Linked DNA regions of Oryctolagus cuniculus. The protein of the gene in region 2 purifies or fractionates together with the protein of the main gene of each other region. This does not show direct contact. Links are inferred from orthologs where the notes say so. Each region holds a gene or a part of one and is shown on either strand. Other genes may lie near its edges.

Region 1 (2,951 bases), on a different chromosome or scaffold from region 2:
TGTCCGAATGAGTGGTCCCTGGGAGGCTGGGAAGATGGCTCCTTCATCTCCACCTGCGCTGGAGACCCGCGCTGCGTTCTCCTTCCCTGGTTCCAGGTTCTGGAACCTGCCTAGCCCCAGCCGTGGCTGCTGTGTTCATCTGACTGTCGCTCTCCTTGGCTGCCCCTCAAATAAGTAATTTTTTTTTTAAGGAAAGGATGTTTTCAGTGGTGGTGTTTGGGTCCAAAAGAGGCCACTCCACCCACCACGTTTGAGGGACCTGGGTGCCCATGCCCCTGGGTAACACGTGGAAAGTGACCTGTTGTGTGGTTTTTGTTTGCTTTTTTTCTTTTTAAAATTTATTTACTTGAGAGGTAGCGTTACAGAGAGAGGAAGAGACAGAGAGAGGTCTTCCATCTGCTGGTTCACTCCCCAGATGGCTGCAACAGCCAGAGCTGTGCTGATCCAAAACCAGGAGCCAGGAGCTTCTTCCGGGTCTCCCACGCAGGTGCAGGGGCCCAAGGACTTGGGCCATTGTCCGCTGCTTTCCCAGGCCACAGCAGAGAGCTGGATGGGAAGTAGAGCAGCTGGGAATGAACAGGTGTCCCTATGGGATGCCGGCACTGTAGGCAGCGGCTTTACCTGCTACACCACCGTGCCGCCCCTCTTGTCTCATCTGTGTAGTACAGCTGATCGGAATGGCCTTGGGGGCTGATTAAAGGAGATAGGCAGAAGGGAAGTGGCGCATGCGAGCTGTCGTAAGTGCATCGTGTGCATGTGACACGGGACTGTCATGGGTATATCACGTGACATTAAGCCTGGCACACGGGACTGTCATGAGTGTGACACACGCACATTAAACCTAGCACACAAGCCTGTCATGAGTGCACTGTGTGCACATGACCTTGAATCTGGCACATGGGACTGTCATGGGTGTCTCACGTGCAGGTGACATTAAGCCTGGCATGCCCGACCTTGCACCCCAGGGCCCAGTGTTGCCTCCCTTGTAGGGAGCAGGATAAACTTGAGTTGAGGACAAAGACCCTGGTCCTGCTCCTGTGGGCTTTCATCCATCCACCTCTAGGACTATCTTAAAGTTTCTCCACAAAAAAGTTTGTGGAAAATGCCAGCTTCAGTCTGGCACCAAAACATGTGAAATCCATGCCTAGTTTTTTCACACTATGCATTGTCCTTGAATGTTTAAGATTTATTTTATTTATTTGAAAGGCAGAGTTAGAGAGAATCTTTCAACCCCTGGTTCACTCTCCAAATGGCTGCAAACAGCCAGGACTGGGCCAGGCTGAAGCCAGGAGCCAGGAGCTTCTTCCAGGCCTCCCACATGGGTGCGGGGGGGCGGGTGAGGTGGGCTGCTTGGGCTTTGTTGGGGGGGCGCAGACTTCGGACAGAGAGAGGTCTGGGCAGCTGCTGATCTAAGGGCGCAGCCACTTAGCGTAGGGCCCTGGGGAGCAAGGGCCGCTCCTCACTCGGGTCCTGAGCTCCGGGTCCCTTCTGTCTTGCAGCGCCGCTGGTGCCCAGGCTGAGCGCGCACCAGCTGGCCCTGGTCTACAGCACGCTGGGGGTCTGCCTGTGCGCCATCATCTGCTGCTTCTTGGTGGCCGTGGCCTGCTTCCTCAAGAGGAGGGGCGACCAGGTTTCCTGCCAGCCCCCGGCAGGGAGACCCCGGGCCAAGCCTTCCCAAGGTGAGTGCATGGGGGAGGGAACCCGGGCTTGCCTACGCGGCCCCTGCGCCTACGGGGACAGCGTTAGGCCGTATCGTCCAGGGAGAGGTCTGGGGCACCTTCCTGCTCCGTTTTGGCAAACTCGGATTAAAACAACTGGGCGGGAAGAGGGGAGAAGAGGGTCCCCAAGCCAGGCCCTGGATGCAGGGCGTACGGCGGTCGGTGCAGGCAAGAGGGCAGAGTTGGTGGTGGCAGGGGGCGCCCTCGGCTTCTGGAGCCCGGGGCGGGGTGGGGGTCTGCCGCGGCTTCCCGGGCCCCGTCGCCGCCGACGCCCTCCCTCCGTTCCTGCCCTCCCAGATCCCGCGATGGAAGCCGGCCCCGCAACATGCGCGCCGCCCGGCCCGGTGGAGACCTGCAGCTTCTGTTTCCCCGAGCGCAGGGCGCCCACCCAGGAGAGCTCAGCCACGCCCGAGACGCCCCGGCCCGCGGTCGCTGAGAGCCTGGGGCGCTGCCCGGGGACCGCCGCCCCGCGGTCGTGCGCGCGCGCCCCGGACGGCGGCCTCGGCCCGCTGTGCGCGCCCGCCCAGGAGGGGAGCCTGGGCGTTTGAGGGGAGGGGAAGGGAGCGAGGAGGAAGGGCCCCCTGGGTCCCGGTGCGAGCGACGTTACTCACCCAAAGTGCCCAGTAATAAAGTCGCTTGTACCTGCTGGCCCAGCCCCCGGGAGTCCCTTCTGCGGAGCCAGACTCTCCTGCTCCCCAGGATGGGTCTCCGCCCGCGACAGCCCAGGGCCTGCACCTGCCGCGTCCCCCTGGGGCCGCTGGCGTGCCCCTCCCCGGAACTCCCAGGGGTTTCACCTGGATTGCCACGCCCTGCTCCCCCTGGCCGCCTGGCCACCGGGGCGCCCCGTCTTCCCATCCCAGGGCTGAAGTTGTGGGCGGGACTCCTTGGTCCCCTCGGGCTCTTGACACCAGCTTCTTGCTGGTGCAGCCCCTGGGTCGCGGAGGGGTTGGGGGAGGGAGAGCAGCAGCCGGGCTCCGATGGCTGGGTTCCTGCCACCCACGTGGGACACCTGGATTCTGAGCCCAGCTCCAGCCATTGTGGGTATCTGGGGAGTGGGCCAGCAGGTGGCAACTCTATGACATTGTGGCCAATTGGGGAGTGAACCAGGGGATGGAAGACCTCTCCCTCTTCCCCTCCCCCTCCCCTGCTGTGTGTCCGGTGATTTCTGCTGCCCCGCCAGCCTGAGACAGAGGTGGGAGGTGTTCAGATGCGGAGGTGGGCACACCTGTCACC
Region 2 (4,453 bases):
ACAGCAGGGAACTGGATCAGAAGAGAAGCAGCCAGGACTAGATTCAGCACCCACATGGGATGCTGGTGCCGCAGGTGGAGGCTTAGCCACAGCACCACAGCAGCGGCCCCTGGATGTGGCTCTCGACTGCAGCTTGCTAATGAAGACAATGGGTGCAGATGACACGGCACGCAGACTGAGTTTCTGACTCACAGCTCTGGGCCCAAGCTCAGCTCTGGTCCTTGAGGCATTTTGGGGAAGAACAAACAGATGTAATCTCTTTCTCCCTCTGTCCTTCTACTTCTCAATTACATTTAAAAAATTTTTCAGGGCCGGCGCTGTGGCACGGCCAGTAAAGCCACAACACCAGCAACACCGGCATCCCACATGGGTGCCAATTCGTGTCCTGGCTGCTCCACTTCCAATCCAGCTCTCTGCTCACGCTCCTGGGAAAGCAGTGGAAGATGGTCCAAGTGCTTGGGGCCCTGCACCCATGTGGGCGTCTTGGAAGAAGCTCCTGGCTCCTGGTTTCAGCCTGGCTGGGCCCTGGCCATTGTGGCCATGTGGGGAGTGAACCAGCAGATGGAAGATATTCCTCCCTCCCTCCCTCTCTCTCTCTCCTCTCCTACCGTGTAACTCTCAAAAAATAAAATATAAAAGCATTCATTATAAGCAATTTGCATATTCCATGAAGTTAGCTACCAACCCAGTCTTTTCCTTACCAAGTATTTGCAAACGAAAGCTCGGACTGCAAGAGCGAGGAGAGCACATCCCACCAATCTAAATATTCGAAAAGAGTCAAACTCCTCTGCCGCGCTCCCGTCCTCCTGACTGGGCTTCTCGCTGGTCAGCTGCCTCCGCAGCTTCATTGCTTCCTCGAACCTGGAAAGGTACTGCTCCAGCCCGTGGCGAGAGGCCCTCTGCACGGCGTCCGCGGCCAGCTCCCCTCTGCTGCGCAGCCGGAGCTCCAGGTTCAGGTCGTCGGGGCACTCGGGCGGCGGAATCAAAGAGTCCAGCGCGTCCCCCCGGACCTCGGCCGCACTGCCGTGCTGGTCCACCGCTCCCGCACCAACTGAATCGCCCAGCACCACGCGCTTGGAGACGGAAGGAATGCCGAGGGCGTTCAGCCTGTCACCGTCCTGCTGCTTCGATTTTGCTTGGCTCTCTTCTTCTGAGGAGAGAAATGTAAGTCTCATGTATTCCATACAGGCGAACACTACACGTTAATATTTTAAAATAAGCGGCTGCAGCTAGAACTTGGCAGTCTCTGAAATGAAATCCACACTGACTGTGCATAAAACGAGAAGTGGTTCCTCCCTCCACACCCTCAAAGCCAGCCGTACACAACAGCTCAGCCTTAGCAGGAGGGGCGAGGAGTGAAATACAAACGGAGAGCCGGCATGGAGCAAACTGTTCTCCCTGCGCTTCCTGGACAGTATATCCCACAGTTCCTGCTCTAGTTATCTGGCTGAATACATAAAATCATCAAGCCTTCTAAAAATCAGTGTGTGTTTGTTTTTTCTAGCTCGAATGTTAAGTTAGATTTTTGAATCCAGAGCTCTATGAGCACAGGGTGTGGCCTGTCCCCCGGCCACTGTTCACGGGTCAGGCAGCCACAGTGTGTCCACACACAGCCTTAAGACCCTGCCATGGCTTTTCTTCCTAAACAAAACCTATAAAGATAAAAATCTCAAAGCAAAAGAAGAAAATAAGAACGCATCTCCAAGAAAGATGATGAAGAATGCTTTGGGAGAGACAAGCATCCTAACGTCGAAGGAGAACTGTTCTCCCAACCACCGTTCTGGACAATTCGGAAAGGGGCTCTCCCTCCCCAGGAGTGTGTCTGCAAGCTCGGAGCCACACTCCATCTCAAACCTCCCGGGATTCAGGAAGAGCTAGGGAGCTCGCAACCAAAAACCAAAGGCCGATTACTAAGAGAAATGCTGGACGGAAACCTTCCCACTCGCGAGCTAAATGATTCGTTCTATTCACAGGGAAAAGGATTCTTTAAGAAAACACCTCGACACCCTCTTGGGGACACTGCTCCAGGTCTCAATGCAAACCCAACCTCAGTCACACCCGTCTCAACGAACAAGGACAGCGCAGCTCGGTGGGCGCAGCGCACCTGCTGGTCTGACTTCTGGAAGGCCTGGAGCTGAACACAGGCACTAGCTGGGGTGGGGTGGGGGGGTCTTTCTTCCATGAGAGCCATTTGAACATCTATAACATCATTTGTGCGCCAAACAAAATTATCAACTTAAAAATCAGCCTGCCACAGATGGACTGGACTTCCAATCCCGCCTGCGGCGATTTCGCGGACCTCAGGCCGGATGTCCCCCAGCCCCGCGTCTCCGACCCACCGCGGGCGGCCCAGGGGGCAGAGCCGACCAGCGGGTGTGCCCGACAGCAATTACACAGCAAACGGCAACACAAGGCGGATGCCAGGGAAAGCCCTGGAAGCAGAGGCACCAGGAACGGACAGCAGGGGACATCCTCCCGGGGGCACCGCGGGCACAGCAGACCAGGGAGAACGGCCGTCTCCAGGCTGCCGCCCGCAGGGACCCGCAGCCGTCGTGGCAGCGACCCCGGACTCAGGCAGGGGGACGCGCGGCAGGGAGAGGCCAGCGAGACGCAGTGTGGGGGCAGGCAAGATGACCCCGAAGATGCCAAGCAGTCGGCAGAACACTGCGGGGAAACGGACGTTCTCACCCGCGCCGCTCCCGGGCCTGTGGAAACCCATGATGCGGTTGATGCGCTGTTCCGAGTTCATCAGCAGCTTTCGCCGCCGCAGCTCGGCCCGACGCTGAGAAGCCGACATGCCGGACCCTGCCGGGGCCCCCGGTCGGTCCCCGCCGTCGGCAGCGACGGTCACCGGCTCCATCCGCCCATCCATGGTCTGCAAGTGGCGGCGGCGGCGGCACGGGTGAGTTCGGGCAGGGCCGCACGGCGCCCCAGCCCGTCCCAGCGTAGACCCGCCCCCCGCGCGCGGGGCCGGGACTGCGGGCCGAGCGCGCCCGCGCCGCCCGATGGGAAGGTGCGCGAGGCTGTGGCCGCCATTTTGAATGAGGGCAGCGCCTGTGGTCCAGGACGGCCTGCCTAGCATTCCGCTGACGGCTGGTCTCCTCTCTTCTAAAATTAGAGATAAACAAAATGGTCCGTAACCTGGCGATGTGGAAAGAGATGAAAGTGACGAAAGCGATAGGCATATAGGTCACAGGTGCCAGGAAGCAAAATGGAGGATGCAGCTTCAGGCGCTTTTTTGCAGAACTCCTGCGGCCTCGTTCATTGGACGCAGGAATACGAAAATTGGCGAACGACGATTTAGAGAGGAATTTTTTCTCGGGGCTGACTCTGAGTCCCTTCAGAATTTGCTCTTCTCTCGAGTGGGCTAGTTCTCATGCTTTCCTCACGCTTTTTTTTAAATAAGACTTTCCCTGCGATGTCTTCCCTGTCCGTACTGTGTGAATGATCCACGCTCTTTAGTCCTTTCTACCCCTTTTCTCCTTTGCATGTACAGCCACCTTGTCAGGTGTGCTGAGTGTTTGTCGCCTGCGTCTCACCACCTGAAATATAAGATGTGTGAAGCCCCGCAGTGAGCTTTGTTCTCTGCTGCGATTTCTATACCGATGTGGATGCACGTCAAGGCCTCCGTGAGGCGCAGCGGCGCAGGCCCTGAATGGGAGGTTTGGGGGCGCCCGAGACTGTTTTTAATTATGTATTTTATTTATTTGAAAAGCAGGATTAGAGAGAGAGAGCTCTTCCATCCGCTGGTTGACTCCCCACATGGCGGCAAGGGTTGAGCCAGGAGCCGGCGCTTCAGACAGGTCTCCCAGGAGCGGGGCCCGAGCACTTGGCCGTCTTCAGCACCAGGCCGGGCGCCGCCTGGACTGGAAGCGGGGCTCCTGCACCCACATGGGCGACATGGATGGTGTTCCAGGCTCCTGGCTTCAGGGCGGCCCTTTCTCTGTAACTCTGCCTTTCAAATAAATAATTTTTAAGGAAAAAAAAAAGCGTCTTTATAAAAAATTACTCAAGTAGCTAAGTAATTTTTCCCTAACCGTAATATCAAAGTATTTATGTTAACTTTTGGTACAGCTATAAATACTCCAAAACAAAATATGCAAAATCATCTGAAATTAGATTTCACGCTGCTGGCTACTCGACTGTGAGTTGGGCCCAGCAGGTCCCCGGGGACCTCTACAGCTGCCAGAGGGCTCTGCGGACGTCATCACATACTTCGGTCTTTTCCCGGGTTCACTTCGGCTCTGACTCTACCTTTTTCATCCCAATCCAAACTGCAGAAAAGCAACAGGCAGGCTGTGATTTTCATTATACAAATGAAATAGTGCCAATTTGGGTGTGCATATTTTAAGGTTGTCCAGTTTCTATGAAGAGTAAGAAGAGGCATTTAGTATGTTCCGGGCCCGTGGCAGCTCTCTGCCTTCCCAGCTCTGCAGGGCAGCCTGAAGATGCG

The links.
Region 1: the proteins of CAMLG (region 2) and TNFRSF13B purify together in Homo sapiens (affinity purification with western blotting; 3 studies listed by BioGRID and IntAct, with this or other methods). This does not show direct contact. The link is inferred for Oryctolagus cuniculus from reciprocal best matches to the Homo sapiens genes CAMLG and TNFRSF13B.

The regions. Positions count from the first base shown.
Region 1 is NC_091448.1:66,023,859-66,026,809, reverse strand, and holds the end of TNFRSF13B (tumor necrosis factor receptor superfamily member 13B), read left to right. Parts: intron 1-1,499; coding exon 1,500-1,679; intron 1,680-2,015; coding exon 2,016-2,266; 3' UTR 2,267-2,366; downstream 2,367-2,951. UniProt on the Homo sapiens protein: Receptor for TNFSF13/APRIL and TNFSF13B/TALL1/BAFF/BLYS that binds both ligands with similar high affinity. Mediates calcineurin-dependent activation of NF-AT, as well as activation of NF-kappa-B and AP-1.
Region 2 is NC_091437.1:22,958,519-22,962,971, reverse strand, and holds the start of CAMLG (guided entry of tail-anchored proteins factor CAMLG), read right to left. Parts: upstream 2,976-4,453; 5' UTR 2,873-2,975; coding exon 2,689-2,872; intron 1,151-2,688; coding exon 702-1,150; intron 1-701. UniProt on the Homo sapiens protein: Required for the post-translational delivery of tail-anchored (TA) proteins to the endoplasmic reticulum.